Arabidopsis thaliana: one gene and its partner. The protein of the gene in region 2 interacts with the protein of the main gene of each other region in a biochemical or structural test. Each region holds a gene or a part of one and is shown on either strand. Other genes may lie near its edges.

What was found. The genes of interacting proteins can lie anywhere in the genome.
Region 1: the proteins of RHA2A (region 2) and NAC019 form a complex in vitro, tested with the Arabidopsis thaliana proteins (one study listed by BioGRID).

What each region holds. Positions count from the first base shown.
Region 1 is NC_003070.9:19,695,769-19,700,468, reverse strand, and holds NAC019 (NAC domain containing protein 19), read left to right. Parts: upstream 1-1,986; 5' UTR 1,987-2,024; coding exon 2,025-2,205; intron 2,206-2,302; coding exon 2,303-2,571; intron 2,572-2,673; coding exon 2,674-3,177; 3' UTR 3,178-3,546; downstream 3,547-4,700. UniProt on the Arabidopsis thaliana protein: Transcription factors that bind specifically to the 5'-CATGTG-3' motif.
Region 2 is NC_003070.9:5,192,363-5,196,471, reverse strand, and holds RHA2A (RING-H2 finger A2A), read left to right. Parts: upstream 1-2,257; 5' UTR 2,258-2,301; coding exon 2,302-2,769; 3' UTR 2,770-3,188; downstream 3,189-4,109. Other genes in the region: AT1G15085 (uncharacterized protein), read right to left, coding at 3,618-3,695, 4,061-4,109. UniProt on the Arabidopsis thaliana protein: E3 ubiquitin-protein ligase involved in the positive regulation of abscisic acid (ABA) signaling and responses to salt and osmotic stresses during seed germination and early seedling development.

The DNA of each region.
Region 1 (4,700 bases), about 15 Mb from region 2:
ATAGAATTAGATAACGATCATAATATAGTGATATATTTGATATCTCGTCTCTGTGACTCCGTCTAATCTTTTGAAATGATGTCCTCTTCCTCACTTCACTTCATCAAAAAAAAAAATGTCATATATATGTATGCTTAAACTTTCATAAAAAATTTAATGATTTCAGTAAAATGTTCTAGGGTTAGATTATATTATAATATAAATTTCAAGAAAAATTCATTCGTAAATTTTTTTCATTTATGAAATACCACAACTGCATGAAAACTAATCAATGGATAAATACAGACAAAAAAAATTACATCAATACGTGATCTTATAAAACAAAATCTGAATATATGTATAGGGTCTATAGCTAATTTCAATTTCGATTATATTATATGCAAACTTGATGTGGATTACTTATTTTTCGGTTAAGATGTTTTATCTATGGTGGATTTACATAAAACTCAACAAATAATTTTGCTAAGTCCTTAAATTAGTTAGACATATTGGTGAAACCGACACTAAAAATGTAGATAAAAATATTAATTTATACATTATCCAACAAGGATTTTATCCAAATCGTGGTATCTATGTGATCTAATGGTTATAAGTGGAATTTAGGTGTTCTAAACATGCTCAATTAGTCAATTATATACTTCACTTTCCAACTCAAAACAGCATATTCCGAGCGAACAATATGGATTTTTATACTATAACACCCAATTTCTAAATTAAACAAAAATTGCGACCATTATATATGGTTCTATCTTTTAAAAACCATGGAACTAAATGATGAAACTATGAAGTTTTTTTTTCACAAAAAAAAAAAAGAAACTATGAAGTTTTTTACCCTATATTTTTTTTAAAAAAGATACTATGAAGCTTTGAAGCAGCTACTACGAGTTGTGTTTGTTAATGTTTCTGAAAACAAAAATAAATTGAAAAAATCTTTAGTCAACATCAACTCGTGTTTTTTCTCTTCTCCCATCGTTATAACGTCTTTTTGACAAATGACAAATTGCGCCTAACTTCTACGATAGACACGTGGACACGTGTCGTCATGATGTAGTTTTGTCCGTATGGAAAACGCTTTCCATGTTGTAACCTAAGATACATTGAACAGTTCCTTTGTCCTTTCAACTTCGCTTTTTTCGAAGCTCTTTCCCTTACCCTACCACAACATTACGCGTGTCCTTCTTATTACAACATTTGGCACATATACATTTCAGAAAACCCGTCAACAAAAAACACGTGAAATAAAATATCTCTTCCTTTACCAGTTCACATATTTCATGGTTACTGTTCAATCATTTCGCCAAAAAATCTTTTTTTTTTTGGGTACAAATTTGGCCAAATAATTGTTCCTTTATTCTGAAATTCAGTCCCCTACACGAATATATAGACCACCAAAAAGTACATGGACGGTTCAATGTTGATTAAATCGACCAAGATAAAGTCAATAATGTTTTGTGGTTTAGATGTCGTCTGGTTACTATATTGACAATAAACTTTGTAAATAAAAAATATCCTTAAAAAAAAAAAAAAAATCCTAAAAGGAAAATCGAAAATCATTTTTTTAATTTGTTTTACATTACTTAAATAATTAAATAGACAATCCTAGGAAAAAAATCTCGATTAAATTAAATATTATATGTGAACTCCAAATGTCTAAGCAGCAAATTTCCAAACATTCATTTGAATCTTATTTTGATTGGAAAATACTTTTAAATTTAGCGGAACATTATTGATAAATAGATGAATAAACAAATGTTAATAAAAAAAACCATTTAAAAAAAATAGTACGAGGAAGAGCTAAATCTACTCATGTAGGTTCAATGAACTCAAGGGATTGCATAAATCACGACGATCTAACTGACACACGTGTCAGAATTCAAAAGTGTTTATAGATAAACACAAAAATGGGTCCCATATTCAGTACACACGTTAATCAGCGGCGGTGGATTCACCTATACACTGCGTCCATATATAAGTAGCACGAGACCCAAACATTATTGTCAAAAATAAGAAAGAAAGAAAAAAATATGGGTATCCAAGAAACTGACCCGTTAACGCAATTGAGTTTACCACCGGGTTTCCGATTTTACCCGACCGATGAAGAGCTTATGGTTCAATATCTCTGTAGAAAAGCAGCTGGTTACGATTTCTCTCTTCAGCTCATCGCCGAAATAGATCTTTACAAATTCGATCCATGGGTTTTACCAAGTAAGTATATACTAATTGAAACCCTTCTCAAAAAATGTTTATTTTTCTTAACAGAGATTCATAATTTTCTTGGTTTTTCTTCTTTTGTGATTTATAGATAAAGCATTATTTGGAGAAAAAGAATGGTATTTTTTTAGTCCTAGGGATAGAAAATATCCAAACGGGTCAAGACCTAACCGGGTTGCCGGATCGGGTTATTGGAAAGCTACGGGTACGGATAAAATAATCTCGACGGAAGGACAAAGAGTTGGTATTAAAAAAGCTTTGGTGTTTTACATCGGAAAAGCTCCTAAAGGTACTAAAACCAATTGGATCATGCATGAGTATCGTCTCATTGAACCTTCTCGTAGAAACGGAAGCACTAAGGTAACAAATAAAATCTAAACATTAATAAATACTATATCTTATATTTTCTTCTTGTAGTGTTTTGAATGACCTATAATTAATATTCTTGTTAATTTTCTTTAGTTGGATGATTGGGTTCTATGTCGAATATACAAGAAGCAATCAAGTGCACAAAAACAAGTTTACGATAATGGAATCGCGAATGCTAGAGAATTCAGCAACAACGGTACTTCGTCCACGACGTCGTCTTCTTCTCACTTTGAAGACGTTCTTGATTCGTTTCATCAAGAGATCGACAACAGAAATTTCCAGTTTTCTAACCCAAACCGCATCTCGTCGCTCAGACCGGACTTAACCGAACAGAAAACCGGGTTCCACGGTCTTGCGGATACTTCTAACTTCGATTGGGCTAGTTTTGCCGGTAATGTTGAGCATAATAACTCGGTACCGGAACTCGGAATGAGTCATGTTGTTCCTAATCTCGAGTACAACTGTGGCTACCTGAAGACGGAGGAGGAAGTCGAGAGCAGTCACGGGTTTAATAACTCGGGCGAGTTAGCTCAAAAGGGTTATGGTGTTGACTCGTTTGGGTATTCGGGGCAAGTTGGTGGGTTTGGGTTTATGTGATGATGAAATGCTGACGCAATAAAAATAAGTCGTTAATTTTTGTCCCGTGGCAAATCTTATATGTATTTGAATTTCAATTCTTTTGGGTTAAGAGGGAGACTCATAGATTTAGATGTAGATTTGTAATCTTTCATGCATAGAAAATTTGACGAATAGATTTCGTAACTTTATTTTGTTGCTGTTTGGTTATCTTTGTATTGGTATAAATTTAGTGGATTGAAATTGCATATTGATATATTGTTTAGTTGTGGCTAGCTATACATGTAAGTTTAATTGTTTGAGCTATCCAAAAGAATATATTTAACTATCTCATGCATTTTTAATATAAGCATACGTTATGTAATCATAAACCTACATACAAATCTTTTCTGTTTACGAATATATAGTAACACACCACAAATTGAGAGACTTACTGTATATACTGTATTTGAAAAAGGAGCGTTGGGTTAGCTGAACTTAGGTGTGTAACGTGGGCTTGCTTGTTTGACCATCTTGACAAGAGATTGTAGAGAAACAGTTTATACCGTACAAGTTTCAAACACATGTTTATTGTGGGTCGACTAAATGCGTTTGCAATTAGGGTATGAATGATAAGAGTAAAACACGGAATACTCGATTTTTTAACTGTACCTAGGAAAATCCGACCTAATAGTTTAAATTTAATTTCTGACATGAATCATGTAAAAGTTTAAGAACATCTCTAATAAAGAGTTTTCAAAACATTAAAATAACGAAATAAAGAATTGAAAGTACCAAAAATAACCATTTAGTTCAAAAGAGGATGAGAATACTCAAAAAGGGTTTTAAACTATTCGAGATGTTCTTATTTTGATTTAGAGTGCGCGTTAACACAATCTCTAGTACACATTAGCCACATTGTTACTGAATATATGTGGTTCGCTGATCATACAATATAATTCTATCTCCTTCCTTTTTCTGTATCCTCCATGACCATTACTGCTTTTCAGAAGCTTTGACCATCCTTTGAGATATGTCTATTTTCTGATATTTACCAAATAACAAAGTGGATCGTCTTGACGAAAGCCCAAAAATTAATTATCTCTGTTTTTTTCTCCTCTAATAAACTAGTCTTCTTCCGTCGAGTCATGCACTCATACTGATAATATCATTATTTGAGTGTGGGAAATCTTCGGGAGGAGAAACTCATATTTGTCTTTCCTTAGACCTTGTTGATTTTGTTGATGTGAGAGGTAAACGACACCCGGAAAATGGTCGAATGAACGGATTTTTTTACAAACATCTACATGACCTTCACTTGGTTCGTTCTCTATTAGTCGAATAACATGACATACATGCATCATAATTAAAAACACACAACAATTGTATTTATTTTGTATTTACAAGTTCCATTAAAAATTTAGATACTCAGATTTGTGGAATGTAAAATTCCAATAGCAAACTAGTGTATTGATTGGCCCATGGGCCAAATGCCCAAATATTAATTTTCCATCTATTTGGTCATTACTCAAAAAAACCTCTAATTAAGGTGTAACTCAGAAGAA
Region 2 (4,109 bases):
AAGAAACTATTTGGTAGACTATAACGATTTACCTATATATAGATATACTGAAAATCAAATGTTTAAGACAAGAAAATGTAGAACTAAAAGATGTATATCAATCCATACTTATGTGATAGATAAGTATAGCGTTTGCATATTGGTGCAATAGACGTATATCGGTGAACTTCCAGGCACAATGATGGACGTCTATACCAAATTACATGTGTCTAAATTCAATCAAATTAAGTAACATCGCAACAACTCTTGCATGTGTTATCATCTAGCACCTTTCCGATTTTTATTTATAAAAAAAAAAAAAAAGACAATCATGAACATAAATGGTCATTGATAACAAATTAGGCCTGGAGTACTGCTAACAAAAAAATGGTCAAGCCCATACAGTAGATTTATTAGGCCCAATAAGATCCAACAGAGATTAGTCTGATTGCTTCAACTATGAGTCTATGACAGCGACTTGACTTTCTGCTGCACCATTATTTTAAAATTGTGTTGTGTGGTCTCCCTTTGGCCACATGATGGCTTAAAATGAATGGTCTCTCCCGGTAATGGATGCTCTTTGCTTTTACTTTGTTTTGTCACCACACAATGCTCATCATCTAATTGGAGTTGGTAATCACCAATTAATTGAAACTCTTGCTAATTATGATATAGAGGACAACACATCCTTTTCGTCAATCACTTTTACGCCTTCCCTTTTTGGACATTTATTTCTTCTATTTTAAAAATTCCACGGCAATTTCATATTATATCAGTGGTAATGGTTTTGGTCTTTGCTTAATTAATGTGTTAATCAACTTTCTTAATCCCAACTTGTTTTGTTTTTTTTTATCAGTCGGTGGATTCTCATATCTTTTGGACGGCGAAATAGAGACTTCTTTTCTCCCACTTTCTCTATTTAAATATAAGTATAAACCCAAACTTATCATTATATATTATGCAAAATTAATACGTTGACAGCGCCGTTTACCATTTTTATAATACTGACTAAATGTTACTTATCCTTCACTCTTTCGTTTATGTTTCCTTCATGATGGTCATGTTTATCCTTTGTTATTCATCATGTACATTAAAAGTAATGTTCGATTCAAATTACTGTAGATGCGCACGTTTCACTTATTTTATTGTGACCTCTAAAAAAAACAAGAATATATACCAATATACCATTTTATTAGTTGGTAAAAGATAGAAATACTAATTTTGAAAATAAAAATTTAACCATTTCCCCAAATAAATGATATATAAGAAAATTTGTAGCTTATGCTTTAACCAATTTACAAATAATATTCCCGAAAATTCTGATGTTGTTTAGTCCGCTGTTTAAGTAGTTGCTTGCTATCTTATTTTAAAATTTTGGAGTATATTTTAATAAGGTAGAAACCGTAGATATGACATGATTATTGGGGGGTCCGAAACATATAAAATATGGAAGGTGGTGAGACAACAAGTTAGCGAGGATCGTGCAAAATCTTCATCATCAGATCAACAAATTGTTTTTCAATAAGAAAAAATATTCATCTTAAGCTATTATAAATTTGGTCCATTTTCATAAAATAATAAAAGGTAAACAATGCATGTGTACACAAAAGTTAACTTAATATTATATATTAAATATCTCAAATATTTCTCTACTTAAAATAAATTTTAAATAATTTTAGTTTCATGTTTAATTTTGGGTTTTGCAAAAAATACCACAAAAGAAAGACACTGAAAGTGAAAACTAACGGGGAATTGTGGGCATAGACGGCAAAATGGAGGGGTCTGAATTAAAAAAGAGAGAGAAATAAGTGACGTTTGGTTTGTAATATAAAATCAGATCTGTAAAATACCAGATCACGTGTATAAAAAGATTTGGTATTTATTACTACTAACTTCATTTGATCTAAATTACATAATCGTCAGACTGGTAATAAAAATTGACAAAAATAGGTGGTCAAAATAATAATAAAAATCTTTGTATTCTTCTGTATTTTGTAAAAAAATATACCAAATCGATTAATATATGCAACATAATAATGATTTCGTACCATAATATAGCTTGAAATAAAATAAAAAATCAACTATACATCCACTTTATATATTTTAAATTAAATTGTATGGAAAAGTATCTTAAATAATTAATTTCCTTTAGTAATAAACCAAAATTAAAAGTCTAATTGACAGTTTAGTAATGAAATTAATAAAAGGTGAAAGTAAAGGAACACAATAATGTGTATAGGTTAAGCAAAGACAGCTATATATATAGAAAACAGAGAGAGAAGAAGAAGAAGAAGAAGAAGAAGAAGAAGAAGAAGAAGAAAGATGGGGCTACAAGGTCAGCTAAGTGACGTCTCTTCCGATTCAATCCCTCTTATGCTCCTCTCTCTCCTCGCCGTCTTCATCAACCATCTCCGATCTTTCCTCCTCCGTCTCACCTCTAAATCAAATCCTAATCTCCCCGTAGACGATGTCTCTATAGCATCGGGACTAGCCAACATAATCGTTCTCGCCGATCAGCTTAGTTTGAATCGGTTATTCTCGTACCGGTGCGGTGACGGAGGTGGTGGCGGCTCCGATTGTGTTGTGTGTTTGTCGAAGTTAAAGGAAGGTGAAGAGGTGAGGAAGCTGGAATGTCGACACGTGTTCCACAAGAAGTGTTTGGAAGGATGGCTTCATCAATTCAATTTCACTTGTCCTCTTTGTAGATCTGCTTTGGTTTCCGATGATTGCGTCTCTAAAACGCAGCGTAGCGTTGGGAGGGATTTGATCTCGTGTTTCTCTCTCCACTGAGTAAAAGATCGGAAGATGAAGAAGATCCGATGGTATCTGAGAGATCTACGGTGGCTGGCTGGTTCGGTTTGACCACGCGCGTGCGCCCCTTCTTTTCTCGGATTTTTTTTGAGGTCTCTTTCTTCTGTGAGAGGAGAACCTTTTGTTTGTTTGGTTTTTTTTTTTACTTTTCGATTTGGAATATGTAAATTTTGAATATACAAATTTTCACCGTTTGTATCTTTGTTGTTCCTTGCTGTTGAGTATATATAAATGGAGAAGATATCAATTCCAGTATAATTTGAAAAATCTTGCAAACTCAATTCATCAACACTGTGAATTTTGGTTATGTTTTTGTTCCTGTGAAAAAGATAAGAAAAGGAATTGGTAGATTTGTAGACGTATCTGGCCTTGATTACAACACCTCTCAGTATGTAATAATAACATGTGTAATTAAGGATGGTCGTTGGACAACAGTGTTAACACACTTTTTCTATATCAGATTCATGTTTTTTTTTAAACAGATTCATGTTTTATACGTCTTTATTGTACAGACGAACCAGTGAGGACAATCATTATTATTGAACTTTTTTGAACCATGAGTGATTTTTTAGTTGAAGATTCATCCCTAAGAAATTGAATCCCATCCACTTCTTTTACAAATTGAAGGAGTGGAGAAGGTTTATATTCCAATTTCAGTTTGCAATGTTTTTCATATGTAATTTTTTCCATTTGTATAAATTTTTTGGACCATCTCTCTTTTACCTTTAGAGAACTTTGTGGGCTTATTAATTTGTCACGATAACAAACAAGATGGGCTTAGAAATAATTATATCTCCAAACTGAATAGGCCCCGTTAACATTATAGATTAGCCTTGTTTTGGCTCCGAATGACGAGCCTTTTCTAATTCCACAACAAAATGTACTAATGTATCTTCAACATTTTTCTACATACATATACATAAAGTTGATTTTCTGCTTTTCTTAGCTTAGTTTACCAACTCAAAACGTTGTATGAGAGTTCTTTAGGTGAATTAAATGGGAAATGAGTCACAACTAAATATAAGCAGTTCAATTCCTCAAGATGCAACTCATAATAATCCATTTGATGTTAATAATGATACTACAGTGTCTTCTTTATTTGAAATGTAACTTTTGTTATATAGTAGTTGATAATACCATCACCACAAGGACACTCTTCATTTCATAAACATGAATATGAAAATAATCGTAGACTAATGAACACAAACAAACAACTAAGAGATATAAGATTGATTTTTTTCGGGTAAGGAAAAAAAATCGGACCAGTAACCTTCGATTCCCCAGCAGCAAGCAATGCAATAATCTCGCTCTCCCCAGAC